Daphnia pulex: one gene and its partners. The protein of the gene in region 1 binds, or shares a complex with, the protein of each later gene. Links are inferred from orthologs where the notes say so. Each region holds a gene or a part of one and is shown on either strand. Other genes may lie near its edges. The genes, in order: nuclear pore complex protein Nup205-like, nuclear pore complex protein Nup107-like, nuclear pore complex protein Nup153-like, nuclear pore complex protein Nup85-like, PCI domain-containing protein 2-like, nuclear pore complex protein Nup214-like and nuclear pore complex protein Nup160-like.

Region 1 (4,274 bases):
CCATCACACATGCATGTAAAATCTTTACGGGGCACACACAAGCGGCAAAGAGGTGTTTTTCTGTGGATCACGAACGACATTTTTTTTTCAGGATCTCAAATCAGTCTAGAAAGTAGACTCCACAACGACGAGTTATGGAGAGCATCAAAGATTGGATGTGTTTTTTGACCTTATAAAGATATACATATGGTGAAAGCGTCTAGGAGGCAACGACTGGCGATAAACAAAACCACCGTTCTTCGAATTTGAGGAAATAAAAACTTGGGAGGTTTTGAAATAAAAAAAATTAAAATGCTCAATCCTACGATTTCCTCCCCTCCCTTATATCTTTTTCTCTCTTCGCAGTGCGATTGACGATTGGATTTCATTTCTTTATTTTGAGCCCCAATATGCGAATCCTGTAAATAAATGTAACAAGGAAAACATACCCAAATAGGTGGACACCACCGTTCCTAAACGTCCGTCTCCTCACTTCAACCTACCCAACTCTTATGATTATTGTGTTTCTTTTTTTTTTTTTTGAATTTTTTGCCACAATCAAACCGTCAACAGTTCTTTTTTGTGTGTGCGTGAATGCGTGTCATTGAAAGGAAAAAAACCTCTATTCTCGCCCTGATCTTCCTTCATATTTTCCTCATTTACCTTGTTTGAACACTGAAAATTTTTTAAAAAGTAAAAATTATCTTATAAGAAAAATTCTGCTAGAATCGACTTTGTATGTGTGAGTGAGTGTGAGTGTTCGTCTATGGCAACTTGTGGCACAGCGCATCGTGTCTTCGTAAGTGTGCGTCTGTATTATCAAGTCAGTTGGATGACATTAGTGTAATTTGTACAGGTGAAAACAACAAAAAAAAAACAAATTCTCAGTGCTATTATTCTATTTTGTATCGAGATGACGCGTTGGACTCGGTCTCCCAAATTGGGCGTCATTAAATTCTGAAAAAAAAGCGATGTCATCTTTATAATGTTTTCTCGAGCGAAACTGAACTTTTCCCGTATTTCCTTCTGCTCCAACTCCACCACCACTCCTCCACAACAAAAAAAAGCAGCTGAGAGCATTGCTTTTTTGTATAATGATAAAAGGGAACAACTTTTTTGTGCTTGTCGATTAATTATTATTTTTCATTTTCGTGTGTGGTCGGTCTTTTTTTTCAATCTTTTTTCTTGTGCGTGTTATACGTGACTGTTGTGGACAAGATAATGTGTACAGGATAATTTGCAGTTCATTTGTAAATATTACTTGTTACTCTTTTGATTACAAACCGTCTGATCATTCTTAAAATAAGCTGATTCGTTTTTACTTTATTTTTCAAATATCCACACCCTATTTTGAGAAAACAATAAATCCATGGACGAATATTGAATAGATAGATAAATGGGTTTTTGGCGGTAATCGTGTTTCAATTTCAACGCAATTGTTTCAATTTTCTTACTGGCGGGAATTTACTTTGAATAGATGGCGCTGTGATGGTAGGTGGCGTTGGCATCATCTACCGACTACCGGTACGAAAAATTATCACACGACAATTCCCCACAGACGAATTCGAAGTCCAAGTTTCGAATACGTTCAGCTTTTGCCCTTGTGGTTATTAGGTTTTTTTAGTGAAATAAGCTTTACTTTTGGTTGAACTGTCACAAGTTTTAAAATCAAAAGATGTGGACCAAGTCTAAGGACCTCCACAGTCTGGTTGAAGACACAATTAATAACCAGCAATGCAACAGCCTAGACAATCTGGAGAAAGCATTGAAAAATCACCGTTCAGATTTCTCTGCCCTTCTTAAACAGCCGGTAATTTCATGAATCAGATTAAATCTGTGTTCTAAGCTCAAGTCAAATTCATTTTCAGGCAAAAAATCTCGATGACAGAAACCTTCTCCTAAAATCTGTCAAAGAACCTGTTCTTTTCCCTGGAAGAAAGACGACTGCTTCACTTGAACAATCGTTTGTGGATGAAGCACTCATTATCTCTGATATGTTTAATCTAAACGAAAATGTTGCTGTTGAACTTTTACACACAGCAGAACAGCAAATGCATTACTATCCAGAATTAACCAGGGGTTTGATTTCAGTACTGCTGTACTATGATGCTAGACGTGCCATTGTCAATTCATTAAAAATTCTCATCCAAGCAAGGAAAGGAATTTCATGGGCTGTAGACACCAGCGAACAAGTTGTTGACTTAATAACAGAGTACACCGTTAAATTGGTGAAAAAAGGTTTGGTAGATCAAATCATAGCCCTGTTAAGTCAACTGAACCTTGAAAAGGAAATCAATTTGCTCCACGAAAACCGAGCTCTCGGTGGACCAAAACACAGAAGGTTTGTTTACAATTAAGATTAATATTTCTTTCTTTTAATTTTTTGTGTTTTTTATTTTAGACAAGTTCATGATTTCTTCACTGAAATAAGGCAGTCGTTAGCGGACATTGTATTTTGTTTGGCTGCTCAAAATGGACTGTGTAGGGACGATACACTGCTGCTAGTGAATTACCTTTCATCTGTCGAACAAGTCGATAACGTCAACGTCACTCTTTTCATGGCTCTTTTGTATGCTATTGATATCAGCGGTATCGTTAGAACTGAAGAAAGTGAAGACGTCGTCCGGTTGTTACCCATCACTTCGGAAAGTGCATTTGTTGCGACTATTCAAAAGCGTCTGACAGAACCACTTCCTTGGAAGAACATTGGCCTTCAAGCTTCAGTTCAACTTGCCTGGGCAGTGACTTTGGCTACTTTCCGTTCGCTTTCATCTGGACTTTGCGCTCCAATTCAAATGCAGGTTGACGAAGACGAAGCCATCCTAGACGTCGCGTTAGAGGGAAAAGCTTTGAATTTTCTCAGTCATCTACTACAAACCAAAAATCATATCTACAAAGAGGAGTTTTACTTACGGCGATTACATTCACTTGTGACGGATCTAATTGTTCAAATGCCCCTGAAAATCAAAGATCTTCGTAATAAGGCCGATGAAGTTGCACGTAACATCTTTGTCTATCAGCAAGAGGGCCTTGAGCCACCTTCAAACCTGCCGCTGGATTTTCAATGGTTGCTTAACTTTATCGCCGTTCTGTACGGAGAGGATCCTCTAGAGCTGGAACTGTGTCTTGAATTTTGGTCTAGTGACATGGCCAATGCTGGAGTAAACTACAGGTATATGGTTATTGTTTATTTTGAAATAAAAATAAAAACTTATCGCCTTTTTAATGCAGAGTCTCTCAGCGACAAATGGCCCTATATAAGTTTATTCGTTTGGCCGGGGATTTGCTACCGCCTTCTCTCTACATTTCTTATGCCAGCATGCTTTGCGGATTGGCAAATGGAAAGAGGGCAGCTCACCAAGCCTTTACCCTTCTGAAACAAAACAGCAACGGCGGTCAAAGCAATTTGATCTCTTGGGAACACTTTTTCTCATCACTCCACAGATATTTTAACAGTTTGCGCCAAGAGTCGCTCCCTGTACCGGACACCATCTACCGCCACAAGCCCCTCACAAAAGGCATTACACCACAGGAGGTTCAGGGATTGCAGGTCGTTTTGAAGTTAATGCGAATCGTTCTCCAACATGACCCTGTTGCCAGGATATCTTTGGCCGAGAATCCAACATGGATACCATTAGTCGTGATGATCGGACTCTTAGGTAAGTAAAAGCAAATAGCTATCGAATGAACCCGAAAAATACATCTTCTAAATTGTAGGCTGTGCTGTGCCATTGAGTTTGAAGGGAGAGATCATGGAGGTTCTTGCAGCTTTCGCCCAGTCACCTGACATCGCATATACACTGTGGAACAGCATTGAAATAGCTCAGATTTTGTCAACTACAAGCATAGTTTCAACAAATGTCAAAGGTTTGTGCATGAAGATAATTCTATATTAATTTCCTGCCCAGTAAAAAACAAAAAAAGGGTTGAATATTAGGTCTCCACACGGAATTGGAAGATGTTGAGTCTCGAGCTGAAGAATACCCCCTCACAAGAGCCTTTCTTAAATTACTGGACGTGATGACTGATATATCCATCCCAACCAACTTGGGAACTGGACATAGAACGCCTGGATTTGATCCCTACTTATTCTACGTTAAAGATTCCGTTTTCCTGAAATTTAGTGGTAGGGCGTACCGCAATGAAACGGAAAAATGGCAGGTTTGTTCGTTTAGGTTTAAAAAGTTGTAAAACAAAGTCTTAACATTGACTTCGTTTTGTAGATTGGAAATGCCTGTGTAAAGCTATTTTTAAAATTGCTCTCGAATTACGAACCCAGTGTGGATGATTTTCAG
Region 2 (4,140 bases), on another chromosome or scaffold:
TCTATTTGACGAAATTTTATTACAACCTACTCTACTTAGGCGTGGAATTAATAGATGAATACCTCTGAAATTGGTTCTTCTTCTGCATTAACCCATAATATGGTGGCTCCTCCTTTGACTTTTTTTTTCCTTGATTCAGGATCTTTTCTTGTAGATTCATGAAGTTTGGAAATTAAAATGAAGTGTGTAAAGTCAAAAGGCTTTCCAGATTTTTTTGCTTCATCAATCTCCTTACTATTAACAAAATTTTACATTTAAACTTGGGATATAATTCAAATTAAGTCTTGTATACCATAGATTTTCCAGTAGGGGAACAGAAACTTGAGGTGGTATGTTTATGAACCTTTCATTGAATATAAGTCCTATCTGGTTAGATGGATCATCAAACAATCCACTCAGTTTCTTCTGTGTTTTTTCCAACAGGTACTTTTTTACTTCTTTAATACATTCCACATCCTAGGAAAAGTAAATAACAAAAAAAATTGGGTTAATTGTAATTTGTGTAACACAAATTCAAAATTTTATCTCACCTTGTGATGTGTCAAGTTAATTACAGAAGTAATTCCAAAAACTTCATCAAGAGAATTTCCTTCATCATCACTATCAGGTTCATCATTATCCACACATTGCTGAAGAAGTAGATATCTTTAGTAAAGTACACAAATTACATCTTCACAAGATTTTATTACCTGTAATATACTTCCAATGTAGTTTTGCTGAATGATGAGTTCCGTCAGACCACTTAAATTAATATGAGCCTTTAGGAAAAGCTGATGCATTAGACTCTTGATACCGTGAAAATCTTCAGCGATTGGTGATTGACCTTCAAAGTCGACTTGAATCTCTCGGTCGTTCTCTCCAAGTTGCTCATCTTCACCCATTTCTTCATCTTGAGAATCATTTTCTTCTTCTTCTTCCTCTGAAGAATCGCTGCTATCTTCTTCCATAGGCCGTTTAGTATTGAAATTCGCCATGATTTTTAAAGACAATTTTTCACACGTGTCAAAAAGTCAAAAACAAACTTAAGTTTGTCTGCTAGGAAGGGGTAGGAAGGAAGTGAAGTGAACATTCAAATTGTTTGAAATAAAATCTTAAAAATTGAGTTAAAAAATAGAATAAAATTGTATTAAATATTATAACAATTATAAAAATCAAATCATTACTATTTCAATTTCAATTAATTATAATTATTTTAATGAATAAAACTTTGAACGTGAATTGCAACGCCCTTTTACTTAGTCTGCTACGTTACAATAAAACGAAAAACGGAAAACTTCAAACCTTCAAACTTCTTCTTTATAAGACAGTGAATTTTATTGTATCTTTTTAAAATAAGCACAATGGAGTTTCAATCTCCAATTATTGCCGGTTCTAACTCAACTGTTACTGGCAAACTAAATCTTCCTGGTCGAAGAATAAAGCACTCACTCGAAAAGACATCAGACATGTTGGGGGCCAGTTGCCTCCCTTCTCCTAACCGACATAATACAATGTCTTTTATGTCTGATGATCTTAGCCACACTATTTTCGAAAGTGATCCTACATTTACGAGAATTGGTGCTGGTTTACAAAGGAAAAATCTGGATTCGACAAGAGCAGACTTAACAGTGAGCAATGTATCACGAAAGAAACGAAATGAAGAACTCATGAGCATCCTTCTAGAAGAAGAAGTTCCAGGAGTAGAAAATGTCTTAGAACTATTTGAGAGATTCCTCAAAACATTTCAGTCATATGGGGCAGAACATCAAGTGTTTAATCAGTGTGCAGAATATGAGTCAGAATGTGGAGAACAAGTATCTGCTTTGCGAAAATTGATTCAAATGGCCCCTCGTGGACACAACAAACTATCACAAGCACAAGAATTGGAGCAAGAACTGAGACTTGAGCGTGACACATGGAGATTGGTTGCATCTCTCTACCAAGATCGTTTAAACTCTGAATTTCATGACAGTGAAATGGAGTCTGATGAAATCTGGAGTGGATTGGATGATGTTACAAGTGAAGATGACTTGGTAAAACAACTCTATGACAAAAATGCCATAATCAGACAGGCTCAGCTCGTAGTCGATTGGCTGGAACAACGAGCGGCTGATGTCTATCACGATTCCCATTACAGCCAGGTATTTTTTAATGTAATTAAAATTTTCTTTTATTAAATAATATATTATACTCTAATTAGGTGGAGTTTTACGGAGATGCGGTTGCCGGCTGGGAAAATACTCTTCATTCTTTGGTCAGTAAAAAACGAGGGCTTAGTACAGATAACGTCGAGCAAAATATGGTTACTCAAATGGATCCCGATGCTCCTAACCGAGAACAAAACAGACGTCTTCACCCACTTGACAAAGAAGATGAAATGCGTTTGCTTCGTTCTGTATTTGCTCGACTCCGTTGTGGACAGCTGGATGAAGCCCAGCAGCTCTGTTTCCGAGCAGGTCAACCATTTCGGGCTGCAATTTTGGAAGGATGGAAACTGTTTCATGATCCCAACATGAAATCTCGCACGGATGTAGCCAACACGAAAGGTAATTTCCAGATTTGTAGAAACCAATGGATTCGATAAAAATATTTATCTCAACTGTAGAGTCGCCATCTGGAAATCCTTATCGTGACATATGGAAGACGATGACTTGGAAAGAGTGCGAAAATGTGCAGTTGTCGGAGGAAGAGCGCGCAATCTTTGCTCTTCTTTGTGGACATTTGAAAGCCCTTTTACCTGCCTGTCGTTCCTGGGAAGATCAACTGTGGGCTCATCTGCGTGCCATGATCGACCACTGTGTCGAGAAGGAACTTCGTCGCTGTGTCAATTATAAACGGCAACTTCAAATTCTACCAGACGAATATTGGAATCAACAGTTGACCGTCGAGTCCATTTTCTCAACTTTAGCTGCCTCCAGAGATAAGACTTTGATCGCCCAAGGCCGTGACCAATATAGGTGACTAATTCTTTAATTTGTCTAATGCGAAATTTACCAAAGCAAATTTTGAAATGCAGGATCATACAGCGCTACCTTATTATGGATGATGTTGACGGATTACTTGAAGAAATGTCGTCTTGGCTGAAACAAGGTGACAGCTGGAGCGTTCACCTACGCCCTCACATGATCCGGCTAATGTCCCATCTTGCTCTGTTCTTCCGGCGCATCGGTCGTGGCTCATGTGACGATTCCATCGGATCCATCCTGGAAGCTTACGTTCTACAACTTGTCAATCTTGGACGAACTGATTTGGCGGCTGTCTATGTTGGACAATTGCCTTTGCCAGAAGATCAAATTCGCCTGTATGCTCAATGCCTCGTTATGGTAGAGGAACAGGAAGAATCCTGTGACGACGAGGAGCGAAGGCGCCTCCTATCTTTGGCCCAGGATGTCGGACTTGATGTCAACGCTATCGCCAAACAAGTTGTAATCAAACTTTGCGACCAGGGCGGAATGGTCCAACACGTCACTGATGCTTCTCTACAGGTGATTAATATAGATTTCGATCTGCATTCGTGCATAGCGTACTCATAATTGTTTAATACTTTTAGGTAGCGACCACGGCAGAAGATGAACGCCGGATACGTTCACTGAGCTGGTTGTTAATGGATCCGTCAATGCGAAGTCAATTGCTTATCCAAGCCAACACTCTCATGCGGGGATACCTTCTCCGTCGTCAGATTGAAGCTGTGAAGCTGACGTTCCAGTTGACTCCACCCGACACAGTCGCCATATTGACCGAACTATGGGAATCACGAACTGGATTGACGGATTTGCCCACTGAAGTCGAGGCTGCTGTCCGTGAATACCTTTGCATCCAGACTTACATTGATGCACTAGACGCCTTTCAAGAATGGTTCACACGTTTCCATCACTCCAAGCCCAAGAAAACAGAAGCTACCGTTCAACAACAGCGAGGAGGAGCCAGTTCTCAACTATCATTCACTGAAAACTTACTCAAAGAACAGCATCTTAAGCAACATCAAGTTGAAATTCAACGCTGGCAGGCAGCCGTCGATTCCCTCACGCAATCAGCTATTGACAAACTGTATAACGTCCTACTTTTTCCTGACGGAGGCTGGATGGTTGATAGCATGTCCTTCGAGGAGGAAAATTCTCCCCGACAACAGCAACAACAGTTGTTGCGACAAACTTGCATCCC
Region 3 (4,052 bases), on another chromosome or scaffold:
AACAGCAATTGCACAGGTCGTCAAATGGTTCCGGGTCTTCTTTTATTAGGAGGCGGACAGAGTAGGAAAATTGACTCTCCATTCATAACCGATTCATCGAATGCCACTGGAATTAAAGAAACTACTCAATCGTCTCGTCCGCCCAAGGCATGTTTTTCTTATGCCTCTGCCAACACTTCTTAAAATCATATATTTATTACTTAATCTTTAGACTTCTGGAGGGTTGCGCCCGGAAATACGTCTAAGGTACTTGGCCCAAGTACTGGAATACGAGGTCGAGTTTTCCGATTTTCCAAAGGTAATAAACATTTTAAAAACTAATTTTAATTTACTGTTGGAATTAATGTAATATTATTAGGGCAAGAAAGGAGATTTCGTTAGCCTTGTGACCTTGAATACAAATCCTCCGCAAGTGTCGCACGGACTTGGTGCCACTTTGGAAGAAGCCCATGATAACGTAATCATAACTTGACTATATTTTGGCAATCAGCTTAAGTTAATTATTTAATTGATGTTCTTTTTGTTAATTCTTTGCACAGGCTGCTTCCAATATGATGAAATTGCTTTCTGAAGGGTCTCAAGATGACACCGTTGGTCCCAACAAAGAAAACGCAGATCAACGAAGCACAGGACCCCAATAATTTTGTTTTTCCTATAATGCCCTGTTTGATATGTTGAGATTTGAAATGAGATTGTCTCATATCTATTTAATTTAGTTTTTGTGTCATTTAACTTAATATTCAAGCACGCTATCACGATTTTTCTTTTGTTATTCATTTGTGGGTTTGCAGTCAAAACTATTTTTCTTTGTCTTTCACTCTTTTTTTCCCCCTTCTACATTGTACACGGTTCAGCTTTTTATTTCATTATTTTTCATTTAACGGTTATTTGTATTTATTTTCAAATAAAATCAGGAGCTTATCTCTTGCTGACTCTTTATCATGTGTGGAAGAAAAAAAAAGAATTTTGAAAATGAATAATCTGTACCGTTGACTAAAAGAACGAAAATCAGAAAAAAATGGGTGCAAGTTCTAAGATTATGCAATCATACTGATCATACTTTTACGTAATACTGCACTACTGCATTAAAGAACTTGCGTTTTTTTTTACATGGCGCAGCGTGATACCTATATTTGCAGCACACATTACTAGTGGCTGTTTTATGTAACAGCGCTAGCCAAAATGAAAATTAATTTCATGCATGGGGGGAGGGGGTTACCGCATGCGAATTAGGCAATTTCTTTTAGTTCGATCGGTTGATTCATCGAGAATGGTCGAGAAGGGTTCCGCTGGAGCCAAACTATAGCCCGTCACAAACGCCCTCTACTGATAAATTTATAAGTTCTTTGAGCAACATCGTTCTTCATTTGTTTCTCGTAACCGCCAATCAGATCTTTCTAAACTTAAAAAAAATCCGCCATCTTTTCTCGGCACTTTTTTCCTCGCCGCGTGTGGGTCGTGGTGCGACGGGTTAAAGCTGTTTTCTTGCAACAGTATCTGATTTCCGTATTGATTGATAATTTCTAAAACAGTCATGTGGGAAGATAATTTAGGTAAAGTCAAGGCAAGGCGGAGCAAAAATTCAAAACCATACGAAAGGCCCAAGGTAAGACTAAAATACGTTTGTGTGAGTTTGTGAAACCCCAACTATATCCGGCTTTTTGTCTATCAGTCGATTTTGAGGCGAGTAACAGATTCAGTTACTGGATTGTTACCACAACCTTCTTGGCTGGTGAATTGGTTACAATCTACATCAGCTAAAAAAGAAGATAGTGAAAATGATGAAGTTGAGGAAGAACAACCTGTGCCGTCAACCAGTTCATCCAGCAATGGTAACAGCTCCCACCGAGAAGGTGTTGAAAGAGAGTCCTTCATATTTCGCAGACCACCTGGGACATCCAAAGAACAAAGCAACAGTAAGTTTTTTTCATCAATGTTCTGCTCCCTTCAAACTGTGTAACACATGCTTCTTTTTTTGTTTGACTTGCAGTAAGAGCTCGTCCAAATGTCCCTTCTTTGGACTTACTTCCAGAGCCAGTAGTGGTTGAATCAAGTTCAAGAGAACAAATCGTTCAAACAAATGGTTTGTATTAAACACTGATTTTCAAACTTTTATGACATCTCACATCTCATTTCCTCTGACAGGTGATGATGACTCCAACTCAGAGTCAACTAGCGGATGTTCCTCATTGTTACCACATCTCGAGCATAAGAGGGAGAGCAGAAATATAGAACTATCAAGTTTGGGAGTTGCTGAACCTCTCTCTATTAATCAATCTTCACTGCAAATCATTGGAAGCTCTTTGAGCAAGTCCCTAGCAGTTGACCTAAAAAATAGCCGTGGACGCAAAACTCTCAGCCTTCATACTTTTGGTCATGATACAAGTTCAGGTATAACTCCCACAGAAGAATCAAGGTTCCACAAGGATACAGGTAGATTTCTAATGACATTTTCATCATTTTGTAGTCAAGAATTTTGCTTACAAATGAGTCTAATGTATTGTTTTTGATTTGTAGAAGAGGCTAGTGGCTCATTTTTCGACAAAGACGACACTTCACTCAATCGTTCAGCTGCCAAGCGAGACCTTTCCCAACCTCAACTTTCATCGTATGGAAGCAAGAGACCACGCTTCAATATAACTTCATTTGGACCTACGGCTGCTGTAAGTCTTGAATTTAATTTACTAACAAAGTCTGGACTCTATTCTTTTATTACTTCCAACAGGAGGCTAGGCGGTCTTTAATGAACGAGAGTGTTGTAGACTCACCATTTTATGCTGGTAAGACGACTTACGGTGGTGCTTCAGCTTATCGCCGTGCCACTTTACAACCTTCAGCTGCACTATTCCCATACGTGCGAAGTCGAATTCAGGCTAGGCCTGCGTCTTCAGCTCCATCCACTTCGAGTTCTGTTGCTTCTACCAGTTCGTCAAATGTTGTACTTAGTAGTTCAGCGCAACGAATCCTTCAAGCACTCGAAGCCATGTCAACACCAGTGAGAGATGCAAAAAGGATTCCTGCTGCATCCAACAGTAAACGATCCACTTCTTTACAAGGCGAAGAACTTTCGTTCACTGGTAAATTGATAAAAGTTATGAATTGCTTAACGTTATAATAATTTCGCTTTGTGTTTAAAGGGTTTGGTTTGAGTCGCCGACGTCCAAATTTGGGACCTCCAACTTCCAAATTATCTGTCGGTACTCCGGCACAGATTGTCACCCGACCAGCTCCAGCAAACTTGTCTCAAATAGAACCAGCACTAGTATCGAGCACCCCCATCAGTGCCCAGGTTGGTGGCAAGATGCGAATGAGGATGTCAGCACCACTTCGCAAATCGGCTCCTCGTATTCGAGAGGATGAAGATGTAGAGTCGGAGGAGCTCACTGCTGTGCCAATGCCCATTAGTATAGCAGGTCTACCTAGTTTCAACTTGCTACCTCCTTGCTCGGTGGTAGAAAAAGCAACTGTTGTATCGACGAAGACTTCAGTGAAAACAGCAGCAGTAATGAGTTCCAATGGATTGGTTAGTTCTTCAATGACGAGTACCTCAACACCTCGTCCAGCTTTCACGTTTTCAGCACCGTTGGTTACCGTCAGTCCGTACAAGGTAGATGCAGCCGTCAGTTCGAAGCCGCTCAGTTTCAACTTCAGCTCCCCATTGCTCGTCAACGCTTCTCCGAAAAAAACACCAGAGAAGGAGACTCCAACTAAACCCGCAGAAGTGGAATTGAAATCTGGAAGTGTCCTTGATGTTCTCAGAGGGAAAAGTCAAGAAGCTGTGCCCGTTTTGGAGCCAGTTATTAAGTCACCACCGGTTCTTTCAGGATTTGGAGATAAATTCAAGGCACCTACCGATTCTTGGACATGTTCTGTCTGTTGCGTTCCCAATTCCAAGGACAAATCTTCGTGTGTGGCATGCGAATCTCCAGCCCCCAATGCAGTAAAAGCAATGCCTATTGCTCCTGCTGCTGCTGCTGCTCCTGTTGCGCCTCCAACAAAAGGATTCGGTGATCAATTTAAAATGACCGCCGCTCAATGGGAATGTTCTGTGT
Region 4 (4,144 bases), on another chromosome or scaffold:
TTGAATACATGGATGAAGCAAAATTTCAGTAGACTTCAATGTGAATAAAGCAAAGTAAGTAGTTAAATAATTACTATGTATTTTTCTTGAAATTACTAGCTAGTATAAACATTTCAGCTGAATCCTGTCTACTACTAGGTGGTTTCACAACTTTGACTTGAGAATAGTGTAATGCAATCTCATTCTCCAGTTGTTTGATTCTTCCTCCTGCCCATAATTTTATCAATAGCGTAGCTCCGTCCATAGAGATTTGTTGCGCGTAACGCAGCACTGAATATGCTAATTCTAATATCCTATCTTGATCCAAATCTCGTATACCCGATGCTGCAGGAGCCTAAATTTAATTAGCAAATATTAATTGAAATAATTTAAGGTAAAAAAAAACTGAAATAAAATCAGCCCTACCATATCACTTAGGACTGCATTAGCAAGTTGCCCACCAAGTATTTCTGTTATTCTGGTCTGGGACAAACTTTTTGTGAAATCTAATGGAGCCAAGATTACAGCTCCTTCAATTGGGTACCTGAAAGAATAAAATTGAATAATGTTAGTGAACTAAGGGTACCAAAACTTTGCAGCCCTTTTACATTGGTTGAAGATCAACTGCTACATGCTTTCCTTTAAGCTGAGAAGACACTGCATGAAATCCATAAACATTCTAGTGTCATTTTAATTAGGCTAAATAGTTAAACAATTCAATCTACCTTTTCCTGTTGCATTAATTCGTTTTACACATACTTGTGTCCAAGCACCAGGTGCAGCGCCACATTCTACAACCACATCTCCAGGTTTAAGGAATTTGTGTTTGTCATCAATTTCAATCAATTTAAAGGCACTTCTAGCTCTTTCTTGGTTAATAAGAAGTAGTAAATATTAGACAACAATTAAACTGAAGCTATAGCCTGTTAATTGAAAATATTGAAATCATAATTTTTATTTGAAAATTACTACCTATAATTTTCCATTTTGGCTTTAAGAACATACTCGTCATTCATTTGCCGAGTTAGCCATTCTTGAGAACTTTTACTGCGGCCCTTTAGCCGATCGGGCACTTTTTTAAAGCATGTTGAAGACGAACAAAACTGTCTTACTGAACAAACGGCAATGTTCATAGCAAAAACTTTGTTGAAACGGATATTTTAATATGGATCAAATAAATTCTTCAGGTGAAAAGCGATAAACAACTTGAAAGTATTAATGAAACAGCAATATAACATCACCTAATAAGATCAAGTAGACTATGATATTTTGTCAACAAACAAGCAGCCACGAAAATTGAAATTTCCGCTATCGACATTCGGCAGCACAGGTCATAGTTACCGCCGTAACCATGGCCATTGCAGTATGGTGTAAAACCGAAGCAGCAGACGACAGATTAGAAATATTTCAAAAAAGTACTCGTTACGAGTTCTGACTGTTAGTTGAAATCCTTCTGAATCCTACACACAATTACGATTTGTGACGTGATTTTCACGCATTTTACAGAATGCTTGAACCTATTGTAATAATAATTTCGAATTGTTCATGGTATACATATTTGTAACCAAACTTTCTTTGTTTTAGGGAATACAAGATCCTCTATTTGCATACAACAAAGATGTTGGGCATTCTTGGGGTTATGGTAACAGCTTGGCTGTATTTCCAACAGAATTTTCCAAGTCGATCACCTCTGGTAAGTTCTTTCTGGAAGTTAGCCAAAAAACTCCTACTAAGTTTTTCTCAATGACAGGTCCAGTTAGTCCCCAGACTTGTAAGAAGAAGCTTTATACAATTTCTTGGGAGCGAACCTTGTACAATCCTTTTGTTCGCAAGCTGGTCAATGAATCCTGTGGAGCATTTACTTCTTTACAAATTAAGGCTGGCACAGATGGCCAAATCAGCTCATCTGAGTTAATTAAATCCAGTCATCAGTATCGTTGTATAATGAATGCATGCATTGAAGATTTGAACCAAGCAGCAGATCTTGCTAACAGTGTTGAATCTAATCAAGCACTTCAAGAAATGAGTGAAATATTTTACAAAGCTGAGTTGGTGTGGAATTTGTGTGAAATTCTGTATCTTGAGAACCCACTTGGAATTCTGCCACACCTATTAGAATGGATTCGTATTCATTTTCCAAATGCAGTAGAAGAAACTGGTACAGTTTTAGCATCACCAAATCCTGGACTCCATGAAAGCTATTGGAAAGCTCTCTATGGACTAGTGTTTCAGTTACGCTTAGAAAGTGCTACCAAACTGTTAAGAATTCATCCTGATTTCCAGAGTGAAGCTTTTCAGAGTGCATATGAGTTGCTGAAGAAAATGCCAGTCTTTAGTGTAAGAAAGTTCTTGTAATTTAGATAGATTAACAATTTTTCTATCTCCTAAGTATTTCTGTTCTATTTAGGCCAACTCAACTGTTTCTGCTCCAGAGTTTACCTTCAGATGGAATCATTGGAAAGAAGAATGTGAGGCTCGCACTCAAGCTGGAGATTTCTTCGAATCAAAAGATTTAGAACTTCTAATGGAGGTATATAATGTTTTATATATAATGATCTCTTAATTCCCATTTTTATTTTCATTAGTTTATGTTGTATGTCTTTTGTCTAACTTACATAAACTTTCTATTTACTTACGATAAAGATACTATGTGGCAAAGAAGAAGCATTTGAAAAAGTTGGCGATCATTTCGAAACTTGGTATCAACGAATGATTACTCAGTTAACGTTCACGCAACCCACAATTGGAACGTTATCTTTGGGAGATGAAGCCGAACAGTTTTTTGCTTCCTTAATCGGATTAGATGATTTGACGTCACTAGATGCAACACTTTTGGCCGTTCTTCGTCGCGACACGCGTAAAGTGAGTATCGCTGTTATCAATGGATAAGAGTTTTAAGCAAGTTTGATAAGAGTTCATGCAAGTATCAAGACACTACCAACATAATTAACTGGAAACGTTTTATATCTGTTCAAATTTGTTGTCACAGGTGATTGGAGAAATGCAAGGAGTATTGGATAATTCTTGGTTTACGGCACATCTCGCTGATTTATTGTATCACGCCGGAGCACTTCAGTCGTTCGAAGACATTAACTCACTACAGCTGAGAGAAACTTTGCTTCGTGACTACTCGATTTGCTTATTTAGCCACCAATCCTTGTGGTCGGTTGGTGTTCTCTATCTTGACCATTGCCCTAATGTTGGTTCTGCGACTCTGGAACACTTGCTCACTCGACTTCCGTGCCAGTCGGAAATGAAGGCAACCAAAATAATTTCACTTGCCGAGCGAAGAAAACTAACATCAGTGGTAACTTCCGTCTGTCGTGTAATGGGTCGACGGGCCTTGGCCAATGGACGACTTGGTGCGGCAGTCGCTTGGGCTGTTAAGGCGCAAGACGCTCCTCTTGCTACCTATGCCGCCGATGCTGTTCTGAAGAGTTACCTTCAAGATTCAGATTTTACTTCGACGGACTTGCTAGACTCACTGGGTGCTGGACTTCTTGCCAGCGATCGATTGGCTTTCCTTGGGAAATATCGCGAGTTTCATCGTCTTTACAATTCAAACGATTTTCATTCAGCAGCTGGCCTTTTGATCTCTTTAATCTCATCACGGATTGCACCGAAATAGTAAGTAGCCTAACCACTAACCATGTTATCATAATTGCAGCTGCCTAATAATTATTGAAATTTCGTTTTCAGCTTTTGGACCGTTTTGCTCATGGACGCACTACCATTATTAGAAACAAATCCGCCAGTTTTCACTTCAGAACAAACTTACGAATTAATGCAAAGTCTACAGGAGTTGACGTCTTCGTTTCAAGATGATGCTGAAATCAACCCCCATCCAAACTGCCAACTCAATTCTGATAAAACAATGTTAATAACTTTAGCATTAAGTCGAAATTTGGCGAAATGTTTTGTACAACAAACTGTTTGTGATTAATGGGATGAAATTGTCTTTTCCACTTCGAATTTACTGCGTGGTATTAATCCACTTTAAGAGGGAAATTTGAATACATCCATATTGTGTTTCTTCTTTAAATAGTTTTCCAACAAATTTTCTGGCTGTCGTTCGTGTACCAAATTAAATGTTTTGTTTTTTTTTGTTTTTTTTATGACTGGACTTGATAAGGACTGTATAGCACAGTTTCTTTTTTTAATTTCA
Region 5 (3,889 bases), on another chromosome or scaffold:
ATGACAACGGAAAGAAACGTTGCGTTATCTTTGGCCTATCCTCGCCTTGATAAATATTTAGATAATAAATAGCATCTTTTAGGGTCTTTTTGGATGTAACCAATGAGACGAAACGTTGTTTCTTTTATCTGTTTACATGCGTCTGTCACCACTCGGGTGCATGCTGTACTATGATTATTTGCCACTGAGATAACTTTATTATACTTGTTAAAACAGAACAAAGGAAACTTACCCGTCGATTCATTTGCAGTTCATCTTTAATGTTTGACACGGCATCGGTTAAGCTACTGTCATTAATACTGTTGGTCGAACTACTATGTCCATGATCGTCTTTTGATAAAGATTCTGTACGATTTTTATTCGTATCGTCTGAATGTCACAAAGAAAAATGTACATGTCATTGAAAAATGTGTTAAAGAAAATGTATTTACCTTGAGATGAGCGTTGTCGAATTGAATCACTTTCGGGAATAGTCATGTTGGAGCAATACGGAAATTATCCAGCCGAAAATCTAGAAGGGAAATATTTAAATTGGACCTTTGAAAATCCGTGTGCGAACGTATGGAAACGAAGTTTCCCTCCTACTATTTGCACACGTGATGCACTATATTTAATTGACTGTCAAAATAGGGCCACTGGGGCTCGTTGTCGACTAAAAGCGAATGATACAAAAGAAAAACTAGTAGTCAGGGGAGGCCGAAATAAGAATAGATCGGAAGTAGAAAAAGAGGGGGGAGAGAATGGAAACACGAGTGGTTCGGTCCACTCTTAAAGTAGAGCTGATTATTATTGACCATTCGCTGCTGATGCTGCTGTATCTTTTTTTACAGGGTTTAGCGTAAACCCGCCTATATACACACACACTGCAGTGTGTGTGGACTGCCCGCTGAGCGGCTAATCTATGTACTCAAGAGTTTTAAGCCATTTTGACATGTTTGTTCACTCTCTCTCTTCATACTTCTTAGTGAGGTATGAAATCATCTTAGACTGGCGCCACGCTTTTTAATTAGTCTGTCCAGGAGGTAGTTGATCCTTGTTTTTTTTTTTTTTACTTGGAACTCCTCTGTGCAATTTATATGTTATTGGAATCCCGACTCAATGTTTTATACATTTATACAGTACAGTCCTGCGTCAATTGTTTTGTTGGATTAAATCACATGCATTATCTCAGTTGTTGGATATGCATGATATGGAACCAGTTCTTTCTCAACTCATTCTATTTATGTTTATGTTGCGGCATGTTCAGTCGTAAAATAATATAATTCTTATTTTACTTTGTGGTTTTTCCTCCCTTTCGAGATCGAAAAACTTTGATAACAAGCGCGGCGTAAAATTTGAAATTGTAAATATGTAATTCAACTTGTTACCGCTAGATGACGTAAGAGTTTCTAGCAGACGAAGAGCTGAGGAACAATTCGAAAGCGACCGGTCGGCGTGATTATTGAAATTTTCTGTCAAATAATATCCAATTGTGTTTCGCCAAAATTAGATTTCTGTAAGCCACCGATGTCCAGTTTTAAGTTAGTCTCGAAAAATCATTTCTAAGACACTAAAAAAATGGCTAACTTGAATTTGAATCAATATTTACGTGAGGTAACACAGCGCGTCACAAACAGAATGCATTGTTTACACATCTTTAGTTGATTGTTTTTATTTAAACTATTTTAGATTCAATCTTCATGGCAATCTCGAAGTGGAACTGAAGTTTCAGTAAGAAATTCAAAATTAAATTTCTTGTAAAATCATGCTCATGCAATACTTCACGTCTTCTTATTTTGAAACCTTTAGGAACTCCTGTCATTCAATCACCCACATGTTATGAGCTCCAAACTTATTTTGGAGGGATTTGAAAAGTCTGTTGAAAGAATCGTGGAAGCTCCTTTTGATGAGATTGTTGTCCTTCATCTCAGGTATACAGTTGAACTTTCATCAATTTTAAATTTTGGTTTCAACTTTCAATTTTACCATCTAGATGCTTAAGCTATATCAACCAGCAAAAGTATTTAGAAGCATACTCTGAGCAAAGTGCTTTGGTACAGGCGTTTACAAAGCTCTTTCAGACACAGAAGGAAGACAACTGGGCTTTATTCATCATGTATGTCATAAGTTTAGATTTGCGTATGTTTGCAATCAAAGCAGACAAAGAATTGGCCAAAAAAGGAGCAGACAAACCAGGACAAACACTTGAAAAGGCTGCAGAGTGCCTCATGGGACTTTTTAGAGTGTGTGCTGCTGACAAGTAAGAAATAACATTTTGCGACTTATGTAGTAACTAGGTACTCATTCTTTTGTTTGAATTTACAGTCGGTCATCTGATGAAGATACAAAACGCTGGGGAATGCTGTATTTGGTCAACCAGCTGTTGAAAATCTACTTTAGAATAAACAAATTGCATCTTTGTAAGGCTCTTATTCGCGCAATTGATGCCTCCCAGTTCAAGGACCAGTTCTCCCTCAGCCAACAAGTGACTTACCGATACTATGTCGGCAGAAAGGCCATTTTCGAAAGTGATTTCAAAAGCGGTGAGCAGAGTAACATAAATTTCTAAAAGATAATCAATTCTTATATTTAATTTCGCATTTAGCTGAGAAATATTTATCCTACGCGTTTGAGCGGTGTCACAAGAACTGCCGCGCCAACAAACGACTGATTTTAATCTACCTGATTCCCGTCAAAATGCTTTTGGTATGACTTTCATTTGTTGTGTACACATAATGCGATGGAAAACGGAAGGAAGATGCTTAACGTATTACATTTCATTTAAAGGGTCATCTTCCTACAACCCAATTGCTGAGAAAGTATGACCTTCTACAGTTTAGCGAAGTGGTGCAAGCTGTTAGGGAGGGTAATCTCCGGAGACTCAACAATGCCCTTCTTCAACACGATGCCTTTTTCATTCGCTGCGGTGTTTATTTGATTCTTGAAAAGTTAAAAGTCACCACCTACAGAAACTTGTTTAAGAAAGTGTAAGGGATTTTATTGTTGGTGTTGAAAGATGAGCCGACATGATTTCTTTTGAATTTATAATTTTCAGAACTTTGCTCATGAAAACTCATCAAATCCCGATCGAAGCCTATCTTGAGGCCTTAAAATTCATGGGAGTTGAAGACATAGACTTGGACGAGACGCAATGTATAGTGTTACATAAATTAATGTGGCTTTTATAGAATTTGATCCATTTCTTTTTATAACGCAGGTATCATTGCAAACCTCATCTTTGAGAACAAAATCAAAGGGTACATTTCCAACAGCCACAACAAGCTGGTAATCAGCAAGCAGAATGCGTTCCCATCGCTGGCTGCTATCGTATAAGTTGGATCTAATATCTCTTACACACACCTGTTTTCGCGACTAATTGAAACAAAATAATAAATTTCTTATTGAACGAATTGTTTCTTGCTTCCTATTTTTGTATTAAGTAATAGTTTTAGCTGTTTTCTTGTTTCAAAGTCTTACATATTTGTGTTAGGTTTCACCTGACTACGCTATTCTACACCAAAACTGAGTGAATCTCAGGTAAATATTCAAATTTGTTTGTGACGATATTCAACGGTTTTTTCCCCCTAAATCTTAAGGATGATATCTTTTAATTGACTTGTCCAATCGTGGCCCTTTAGGAAGACGTGTCGGGGTGTACAAATTTCGGTATCCATTTTTAATCTCTCCACTCTATGGTGTGTCGACTTGTCCAATCCTGCCGCTTCACAGGCCTCGGGGAATTTCGCCGGTGATGCCGTAGCTAGACAAACGAATACCTGTTTTCCCCTACAAACCAATAAAGGTGACCGGAAGAAACTCATTAAACCGGATCAAGTACATGGGGAGAGAACAAAAATAAATACTCACCTCTGATCTACGTTGAAACAGTAGGAGACTGCCGTTGCAGTGT
Region 6 (3,998 bases), on another chromosome or scaffold:
AAGGTAATATATATAGCCAATCAATCATAAAACATATGTCAGGATGGCCGAGCGGTCTAAGGCGCCAGACTCAAGCAGGTGCTTGCCAAACTAAAACTTGGTAAATAGGAATTCTGGTCTTCGATAGAAGGCGTGGGTTCAAATCCCACTTCTGACAATCATTATTACAAGGAAATATTTTTGGATGGCACGACGGAGAAACAAGCTGCATACAAACCAGCTTCCTACCCTAGCCCAGCCTATCCTTTCGTACTCCTCATACAAACCTCTGCATACAAGCCCGCATCCATATCTCCGGCTTATCCGAACTACCAAGTAAATATCATATCCTGGCTTCTTGCTATAATTGATACAAATAAAGAAATAAAAGTTTTAAATAAACGATTAGTCAGAGTTTACTAGCAGTAATCTTTTTTCTCCCTGCGTCGCTTAAAAATGAATTTATGCGCTACGGCCGTATGGCGTCGCTGTGTCGCTGTTTCTGAATCTGATCAAATTAAACCAATAATTGTTTATTTGAATAGAAAATTTAAAAAAAAATAATTCCATCTTTTGCGGACTGATAAAGAAAAGGGATCGAGATGAATGAACTACACACAGGTTGGGATGAGGAAGTGAGTCGGATCTAAAGTTTGTCCTAGTTGGATATTCTTTGTCTAATTATGCTAGACTAAGGTTACATGAATTATCATCCAATTGAATCTCTTGAAAAATAATAATGTCCAATCGAGCCAGATTTGAGCAGACCGACCAGAATGTGTAGCCTAATAGATAAGGTGCCAGTTTATCTTACTTATAGATGTTAAGTTATTTAGAAGTTAAGTTAAGTTAATTTTGTTTGTTAATTAGTTCAAAGAGAGACTATTTGCCGTATAAAGAGACCGTGCACCACGATCAGATTTATCGTATATTATATAGTCCCTATTTGTAAATTTATTCCTCGAATATGATTCGTTTGATCGAATGTTTATTGTTTAATCGTTTTGAACAGGGTTTTCAATGAACCAAGTTGATGAAAATATTGTATCTTGCAATTTGGTTGACGTATCACGTAAGCCTTCCCTTTTGAATATCTTAACTCCACTATAGCCCCAAAAGTGATCAGAATTGGAAACACTACCCCTCAGCCCCTACCCTTTCAAAAAAAAGAACCGCGAGTTATTACAATTTAAAAAAATTCAAATTGCTTTGATAGATGGCGTTCACTTGTCACAAGCAGACAGGCAGTGAGGCACTCAAACAGTTAGACATTTCATAAAATTTCGACCGGCTTTGGCTTTGCAACAAAATAAGGTTGAAAGTGCGGTGTGATTTTCTATCCGAATATTACATTGATTATTGAAACTGATAATGGCAAACGTTCCTGATCCTGTTGAAGTCTTGGTAATTTTAAAATACATTTTTTTATTGTTTTCTTTCAATTCAACCAATCTAACTTGTAACAACAGGACTTCAAAATGAAACAGCTGTGTAAGTTTAGAGTCACTAAAAAGGAATATGATGTACAGGACACCACATCATTGCTGGCTACTTCTAATTTGTTTGGTCTGATCTTTGTTGGGACACCTGACAAACTTGTTGTCATCAAAGTTTCAGATCTTATACAAATTGACAATACAACATCAAAAAAATCAGAAATATCATCATTTCCCATCAAGGAAATTCTTTTACCCAACAAACCTAGTTTTGTAACACTGAGCTCTGATAATCTTACCTTAATGGTGTGCCTTCAAAAATCTGGATGCTCAGTAGGTTGGATGTATGATGTTCGTGGATTTGCAAGACAGGTATGATTTAAGGAATTTCATTTTGTGTGATTGAAACAGATTTAAAATCTTTTTCAGTCAGGTGAATGGAATCCCTTCCAGGAAGTCAGGCTTTCGTCTACTGATGGAGTTACTGTGAAAGATTGTGCGTGGAACCCTGTTATACCAACTCTAGTAGCTGTCTGTCTTAGTGATGGCTCTTTAGTTGCAGTGGAGATCAACAACACTCAATTCACTATAAATAGCCTTCCATCAAGTACAGGAGCCCAGTATGTGAATATCCTATTTTGTATGTATGTTATTTTCTTAATTTTATTGAATTATTAGGTCAGTCTGTTGGAGTCCCAAAGGAAAACAGCTAGTTGTGGCCAGGCCTAGTAAACTAGTTCAGTATAAGCCTGATTTAAAGGAAGCCAAGACTATAGCGTTTAGTGGTAGCGATGTCCATATGACTCAGCCAATGGTTTGTGGACTTCAGTGGCTTTCTACAACTCAGTTCCTTGTAACGTTTGTTGATCAAAATGAACCCAATTCTCGTCCCCACCTCTACATAGTCAACGTACAAAAATCGGGGGCAACAACTTTCATAGATTATGACGATGTTTGCTACGGAAGTCCGTCTGAAAGACCACACAGGTATACGAATTTTTTTCATTTTATTATCAATATAATGAATTTTGTTTCTTTTTTAGTTATCTAACATTGAGTTTATCCCCATGGAATGTGTTATTGGCTTGTTCAGCTAACGCAATAGAAGTTGCCGTACTAGCTCAAACAGGAGCTGGAGATGCTGATCACCCTGAATGGAGGCAATGGGCACTAGAAGGTGAATGGCGAGCTGAACTACCATTAAATGAGAATGCTGAGACTAACCCGTTGGGAATGGCCATCGATACCACTAGCCAAATTCCAATCAGTTGGGATGACAATCAAACTTTACCGCCCGCACCCATTCTTTTCATACTCAGCACTCATGGTCTGCTTTGCCCGTTTCATGTTATCAATCTAAAGAACGGTGCTGCCAAATTCAATCAGGCTCCTCAAGAATTGTCGGTCACTGGTGAGAGACCAGCGCTTAGTGGAATTGGTCTCAAGGCGGCTCCATTAGCAGCTTCCACTCCATTACCTGCTGCTGGTAAAATTGCATTTCCTAGAACAAATCTTGGAGAACGATTTGCTGCATTTGCGGATGCTCCTTCCTTAGCAGTCCCAGTTACAACGAAATTACCTTCAAATCCGCCTATTTCGGACTCGTTTTTGGGCAACAAACCCCAACTTCAACCTGCCTTACCTTCAGTGACGAAAGTTGCAACTGCACCTGTTGTACCAGCTGTGAAGATAGAAGCGGTTCCGGTTGTCCCGAAAGCTACTCCACTTACTGTCAAACTTACAAGTCAAACTCCAATCGCAGATGAATCTAACATCCATTCATCCATGGGCGCTGCCGCTGCAATATTACGTGACGAAGTGGCCAAATTCGTTCAAGACTTGAAGGAATTCAAAGCTCGTTCGTTGACTTTGAAAGTTACGATCGCGAGTGATGAGGAGAAAGAACGATTGTTAAAGATGACATCCGATCTGGCTGAGTTTGGTGTGGATCTGGTCGATACTACCAAAGTGCAAGACGAAGAAGTTCGAGGCTTGTGCACTGATTTGGTAGAAGTTGCCGCCCTTTTGGAAGATGCCCGTGTTCGACGTGCTCGTCGCAAAAATTCTCATTTCTGTCATTTGCTCAAGTTACGGCCTCTAGATCCAGGCAATCGCAGAAAAATGGACGGCATTGAGCGCTTGCACGTTCACATAGAACAGCAGCTTATAGAAGCTTCACGAAGCCTAGATTCGATTAGCAGAGACCGTACTAGAGACACCCGCAAAATTGAAATCCCAATAACTCAGGTAAGCTTGTTTTATTATTATTATTACTCTAAAATATTCAGCATCCTATGATTTATTTCATCTCAGGTTATTTATGAAGCAATTAGAAACAATACGAAAGTAATATCACAGTTAAAATCTCGTGTTGAACGAATTATGGTTCAGAGCAAAGAACAGCAACTGAAACTCGCCGGTGCAGCCTTCGAAGCTTTAAGGTATTTGCCATTCATAAATTCACTTAATTATTGAATTAATTGTGTGTTCTGTAGACCAAAGAGTGGTGATGAGTCAAGAAAATGGGAGTCTGAACTGGCTGTTCTGGCTGATTCTCTTTTGTCGTCAAGTATAAGAGGAGAA
Region 7 (2,822 bases), on another chromosome or scaffold:
ACTGATTAAACAATTCCATAGCGACTTTGCCGTGCAAGAGCTTGGTTGAACTCTTCCTATCCTTGGATGGAGGTCAAGCTGTACGAGAAATGGTCCTGCAGGAAGAAGATGCTGCTGAATGGACGTCCTCTTGGTTAGATGTTTTCCCACACTTTATGAAAGCCATTGGCCAGCTGCTTTGGCCCATTGGAAATCACATGACTTTCATGGAATTTCTGATGGAACGCTTCCAACCCTTGGCCGTACAGGGATACGTCCGCCTGCAACAGAACTGGTTTGTAAATATTGTACTTCAATATTAGATGCGTTTATTGATTTTTTTAAATGCAAATTCCGCCCAGGTGTGAATGGAATACGTGCTCTCGAAAATTTCTGATGGCTGTCGCACTTGTGGCTACCGGTGAAGGAGATAAAGCCAGTAAGTGGATGCTTGAAGCTGCTGAAGGAATCATCAAAGAACAACTTCTTCACTCGATTGTCACAAAGGGAGCGAATGAAAGTGGTGACGCTGGAAGTCGTGCTGATCCGGTGATGCGCTTTCATCTCATATGCGTCCAATTGTTAGAGCAGGCGGGACTATGCAGTGCTGCTCTTCGTGTGGCTCTTGTAGCCCTAAACAGTAGTAAAACGGACGACCCCCTTTTGCCTACAATATGGTCGATTGTTGCCAAGCTTCATTTGAACTTGGGCCACTATCAGGTAATAAATCAAACGCATTTTATCAGATTTCACGCCCTTACGTATCCATTCACTGCTAATAGGAAGCATACGAAGCCATCGTAAATAATCCGGATAGCAGTCAGCGACCTGAAACTCTTGGACGTCTGGTCAATATTTTGCTGGAACGCAAGCAGATGGATATTCTTTTAACTTTCCCTTACGCCGGATTGGAATCAGAATTGGAAAAAATTGTGGAGAGAAGGGCTCGCTCATCAGATGTTCTATCTATGACGCTTTATTACTCCTTTCTCTATGCATTTCACGTCCGCCAGGGTAAAATGCGCAAAGCTGCCGCTGTGATGCACGAACAGGTAATGTGTACTATCAACCACTTTAGGCCTTGGATCACCGTTACTGATGTAATTTGTTTCATTAAAGGCACTTCGATATGGATGTGAAGGAGAGTCAGCCAAAATGGTCAAATGTCTTTTGGCTTGTCTCAACGCCCTGCGCCTAGTCTCTAGACAGGAAGCCTGGTTGGTTAAACCAGTAACTACGTTGAATCGTAAGGATTCATCAGAACCGTTTAGACATACGGTTGACGTCATCGAGTATGCTGATATTGAAAAAGAATATGAACTCAGCTACGCTTGTATCAATCTTGGACAGTCAATCACATCTCTTTCTCCTTCGGACGTGGTAGCGCTTTTGACTTCACGCAACCGCTACGAATCGGCACTGCGCATTGCCAGGATCTTTGACGTCAAAGGTATTTTTTATTATTGTTATTACCTTGTCAGAAGTACATTAAGCATGTTTTTCTGCTTGTGTGACTTAAGATACGTCTCCGGTCGTGGAACACTTGGCCGCCAATTGCGTGGCCCTATCGAGAGAACGGGCCAACGAGGATGAAGCCTGGATTTGGTTGTCTCTGAATCAATCGTCTGGAGTAGGCAAGGCTTCAGAGCAAGCCTGGCGGTTATTAGAGAGGATCCTACCAAAAGCAGAAGGAGGGGACAAGCAAACCCGCTGTCATCGTGCAGCGGCCAAAAAAATCCTCGGTTTAGATTGCACCTTGCCTTATTGGTTGGCCGCCAGCTACAAATTGAGGAATCCAGGAGAACTTATCAGCATCTATCATCAAGCAGGGCTTTTAGAAGATGCAGCTCAGGTATTTATAGTTTTTATTGGAATTATTTTAAATAAATATAGATTTAACGGATTCTTTGCCTGACTTTTAATAGGTAGCTCTAGAATTGATGGATGCGATGCTGGGAAAAGGGAAGGAGTACTTTGGATTCGACAGCAACCCGCTCCAGATCAACGCACCTCCTGTATGGATGCCTTACACAGTTTTCGATCGTTTAATCATGGAATTGGAAGCCAACTGTAATGATTCTACCTATAAATCGGTAAATGCTTGTTTGTTTATTTTTTTCTTCTACCTATTATTTATTGAATGTTAATTCATTTTTATGTTTTGACTTTCAGTTACTGAATGACATGAAAGGCAAATTGCACGCTTACTTCCAAACAGCTGAACGTGTTAGTCGCTCTTTTGTCGAGTTATCCATGTCTTAGCTTTCTTTCTTTTTTTATTAATAAAACCCTGAATTTTGTATTACCATTTCAACTGTGTAATAAATACTGAGATTTCCTCGACTTGGAAAGAATGAAAAAAAATTAACAGTAATTTTCCTTGTAAATATTTTGCGGAAGGTTGTCAGCAAACAAACATTTGTTTGTTTCCTCGACCATGACGCTGACGCAAAAGAATTGGACAGATTTTGTTATTTCACTCAAATTGTAAGTTGAACAACGTCATTTTTTTTACATCCAGTTTTGTATGGTTAGTCCTCAGTCATTTAATCAATTAATCAAATATTTCACCTGATTTTAAAAAGAAATTGTTGGTTTGAATCATTATTAGCGTAGCCTCTTATTAATTTCTATAAAAGATGAATTCAAAATTAATGACAATATCATAGACATTTTATCAAATGCAAAAGTAGTTTGACTAATGTGATTTTTAAAATCTGTGAGATTCTAACGGTTAATGGTTAACCTAACTGTTCCCTTGAGAAAGTAGGCGATTAAGTATGGCGACCTGGAAGTGTCTCGACCCGGAAGACCTTGTCCGTATGTCCCGTATAGCGGAGGGG

What was found.
Region 2: nuclear pore complex protein Nup205-like (region 1) and nuclear pore complex protein Nup107-like share a complex: the UniProt entries of both Drosophila melanogaster proteins name them as parts of the nuclear pore complex. The link is inferred for Daphnia pulex from reciprocal best matches to the Drosophila melanogaster genes Nup205 and Nup107.
Region 3: nuclear pore complex protein Nup205-like (region 1) and nuclear pore complex protein Nup153-like share a complex: the UniProt entries of both Drosophila melanogaster proteins name them as parts of the nuclear pore complex. The link is inferred for Daphnia pulex from reciprocal best matches to the Drosophila melanogaster genes Nup205 and Nup153.
Region 4: nuclear pore complex protein Nup205-like (region 1) and nuclear pore complex protein Nup85-like share a complex: the UniProt entries of both Drosophila melanogaster proteins name them as parts of the nuclear pore complex. The link is inferred for Daphnia pulex from reciprocal best matches to the Drosophila melanogaster genes Nup205 and Nup75.
Region 5: nuclear pore complex protein Nup205-like (region 1) and PCI domain-containing protein 2-like share a complex: the UniProt entries of both Drosophila melanogaster proteins name them as parts of the nuclear pore complex. The link is inferred for Daphnia pulex from reciprocal best matches to the Drosophila melanogaster genes Nup205 and PCID2.
Region 6: nuclear pore complex protein Nup205-like (region 1) and nuclear pore complex protein Nup214-like share a complex: the UniProt entries of both Drosophila melanogaster proteins name them as parts of the nuclear pore complex. The link is inferred for Daphnia pulex from reciprocal best matches to the Drosophila melanogaster genes Nup205 and Nup214.
Region 7: nuclear pore complex protein Nup205-like (region 1) and nuclear pore complex protein Nup160-like share a complex: the UniProt entries of both Drosophila melanogaster proteins name them as parts of the nuclear pore complex. The link is inferred for Daphnia pulex from reciprocal best matches to the Drosophila melanogaster genes Nup205 and Nup160.

The regions. Positions count from the first base shown.
Region 1 is NC_060022.1:5,063,116-5,067,389, reverse strand, and holds the start of nuclear pore complex protein Nup205-like, read left to right. Parts: upstream 1-1,474; 5' UTR 1,475-1,654; coding exon 1,655-1,789; intron 1,790-1,847; coding exon 1,848-2,320; intron 2,321-2,380; coding exon 2,381-3,151; intron 3,152-3,210; coding exon 3,211-3,638; intron 3,639-3,696; coding exon 3,697-3,846; intron 3,847-3,916; coding exon 3,917-4,140; intron 4,141-4,202; coding exon 4,203-4,274. UniProt on the Drosophila melanogaster protein: Plays a role in the nuclear pore complex (NPC) assembly and maintenance, but with limited role in NPC permeability. Required for specific nuclear import pathways such as Mad import.
Region 2 is NC_060019.1:10,133,856-10,137,995, reverse strand, and holds the start of nuclear pore complex protein Nup107-like, read left to right. Parts: upstream 1-1,340; coding exon 1,341-2,120; intron 2,121-2,179; coding exon 2,180-2,525; intron 2,526-2,584; coding exon 2,585-2,936; intron 2,937-2,995; coding exon 2,996-3,464; intron 3,465-3,529; coding exon 3,530-4,140. Other genes in the region: protein BCCIP homolog, read right to left, coding at 1-1, 63-234, 293-456, 531-629, 690-974. UniProt on the Drosophila melanogaster protein: Plays a role in nuclear pore complex (NPC) assembly and maintenance. Required for nuclear import of Mad. Mediates the association between the nuclear pore complex and a subset of active chromatin regions adjacent to lamin-associated domains.
Region 3 is NC_060021.1:252,442-256,493, reverse strand, and holds the start of nuclear pore complex protein Nup153-like, read left to right. Parts: upstream 1-1,252; 5' UTR 1,253-1,534; coding exon 1,535-1,606; intron 1,607-1,672; coding exon 1,673-1,916; intron 1,917-1,987; coding exon 1,988-2,083; intron 2,084-2,145; coding exon 2,146-2,433; intron 2,434-2,517; coding exon 2,518-2,663; intron 2,664-2,725; coding exon 2,726-3,077; intron 3,078-3,137; coding exon 3,138-4,052. Other genes in the region: double-stranded RNA-binding protein Staufen homolog, read left to right, coding at 1-147, 212-298, 359-457, 540-641. UniProt on the Drosophila melanogaster protein: Component of the nuclear pore complex (NPC), a complex required for the trafficking across the nuclear envelope. Functions as a scaffolding element in the nuclear phase of the NPC.
Region 4 is NC_060023.1:4,665,836-4,669,979, forward strand, and holds nuclear pore complex protein Nup85-like, read left to right. Parts: upstream 1-1,344; 5' UTR 1,345-1,486; coding exon 1,487-1,501; intron 1,502-1,563; coding exon 1,564-1,672; intron 1,673-1,729; coding exon 1,730-2,316; intron 2,317-2,386; coding exon 2,387-2,509; intron 2,510-2,622; coding exon 2,623-2,841; intron 2,842-2,968; coding exon 2,969-3,606; intron 3,607-3,678; coding exon 3,679-3,922; 3' UTR 3,923-4,021; downstream 4,022-4,144. Other genes in the region: rRNA methyltransferase 2, mitochondrial-like, read right to left, coding at 74-334, 406-523, 588-636, 705-844, 952-1,112. UniProt on the Drosophila melanogaster protein: Component of the nuclear pore complex (NPC) that seems to be required for NPC assembly and maintenance. Required for nuclear import of phosphorylated Mad via importin msk.
Region 5 is NC_060025.1:7,985,669-7,989,557, forward strand, and holds PCI domain-containing protein 2-like, read left to right. Parts: upstream 1-1,383; 5' UTR 1,384-1,557; coding exon 1,558-1,593; intron 1,594-1,668; coding exon 1,669-1,710; intron 1,711-1,788; coding exon 1,789-1,910; intron 1,911-1,972; coding exon 1,973-2,239; intron 2,240-2,304; coding exon 2,305-2,522; intron 2,523-2,584; coding exon 2,585-2,685; intron 2,686-2,766; coding exon 2,767-2,966; intron 2,967-3,034; coding exon 3,035-3,132; intron 3,133-3,196; coding exon 3,197-3,312; 3' UTR 3,313-3,389; downstream 3,390-3,889. Other genes in the region: b(0,+)-type amino acid transporter 1-like, read right to left, coding at 233-369, 432-477; threonine synthase-like 2, read right to left, coding at 3,564-3,765, 3,847-3,889. UniProt on the Drosophila melanogaster protein: Required for the export of nuclear mRNAs and involved in mRNA trafficking in the cytoplasm.
Region 6 is NC_060027.1:5,448,498-5,452,495, reverse strand, and holds the start of nuclear pore complex protein Nup214-like, read left to right. Parts: upstream 1-1,198; 5' UTR 1,199-1,350; coding exon 1,351-1,383; intron 1,384-1,448; coding exon 1,449-1,787; intron 1,788-1,844; coding exon 1,845-2,035; intron 2,036-2,093; coding exon 2,094-2,402; intron 2,403-2,458; coding exon 2,459-3,662; intron 3,663-3,728; coding exon 3,729-3,856; intron 3,857-3,910; coding exon 3,911-3,998. UniProt on the Drosophila melanogaster protein: Part of the nuclear pore complex. Serves as a docking site in the receptor-mediated import of substrates across the nuclear pore complex including emb, RanGAP and phosphorylated Mad. Protects mbo/Nup88 from proteasomal degradation at the nuclear pore.
Region 7 is NC_060017.1:6,357,211-6,360,032, reverse strand, and holds the end of nuclear pore complex protein Nup160-like, read left to right. Parts: intron 1-21; coding exon 22-274; intron 275-341; coding exon 342-699; intron 700-761; coding exon 762-1,031; intron 1,032-1,098; coding exon 1,099-1,429; intron 1,430-1,499; coding exon 1,500-1,831; intron 1,832-1,904; coding exon 1,905-2,072; intron 2,073-2,151; coding exon 2,152-2,241; 3' UTR 2,242-2,322; downstream 2,323-2,822. UniProt on the Drosophila melanogaster protein: Functions as a component of the nuclear pore complex (NPC). Involved in poly(A)+ RNA transport. Required for nuclear import of Mad. May play a role in double strand break DNA repair. Essential for nephrocyte development.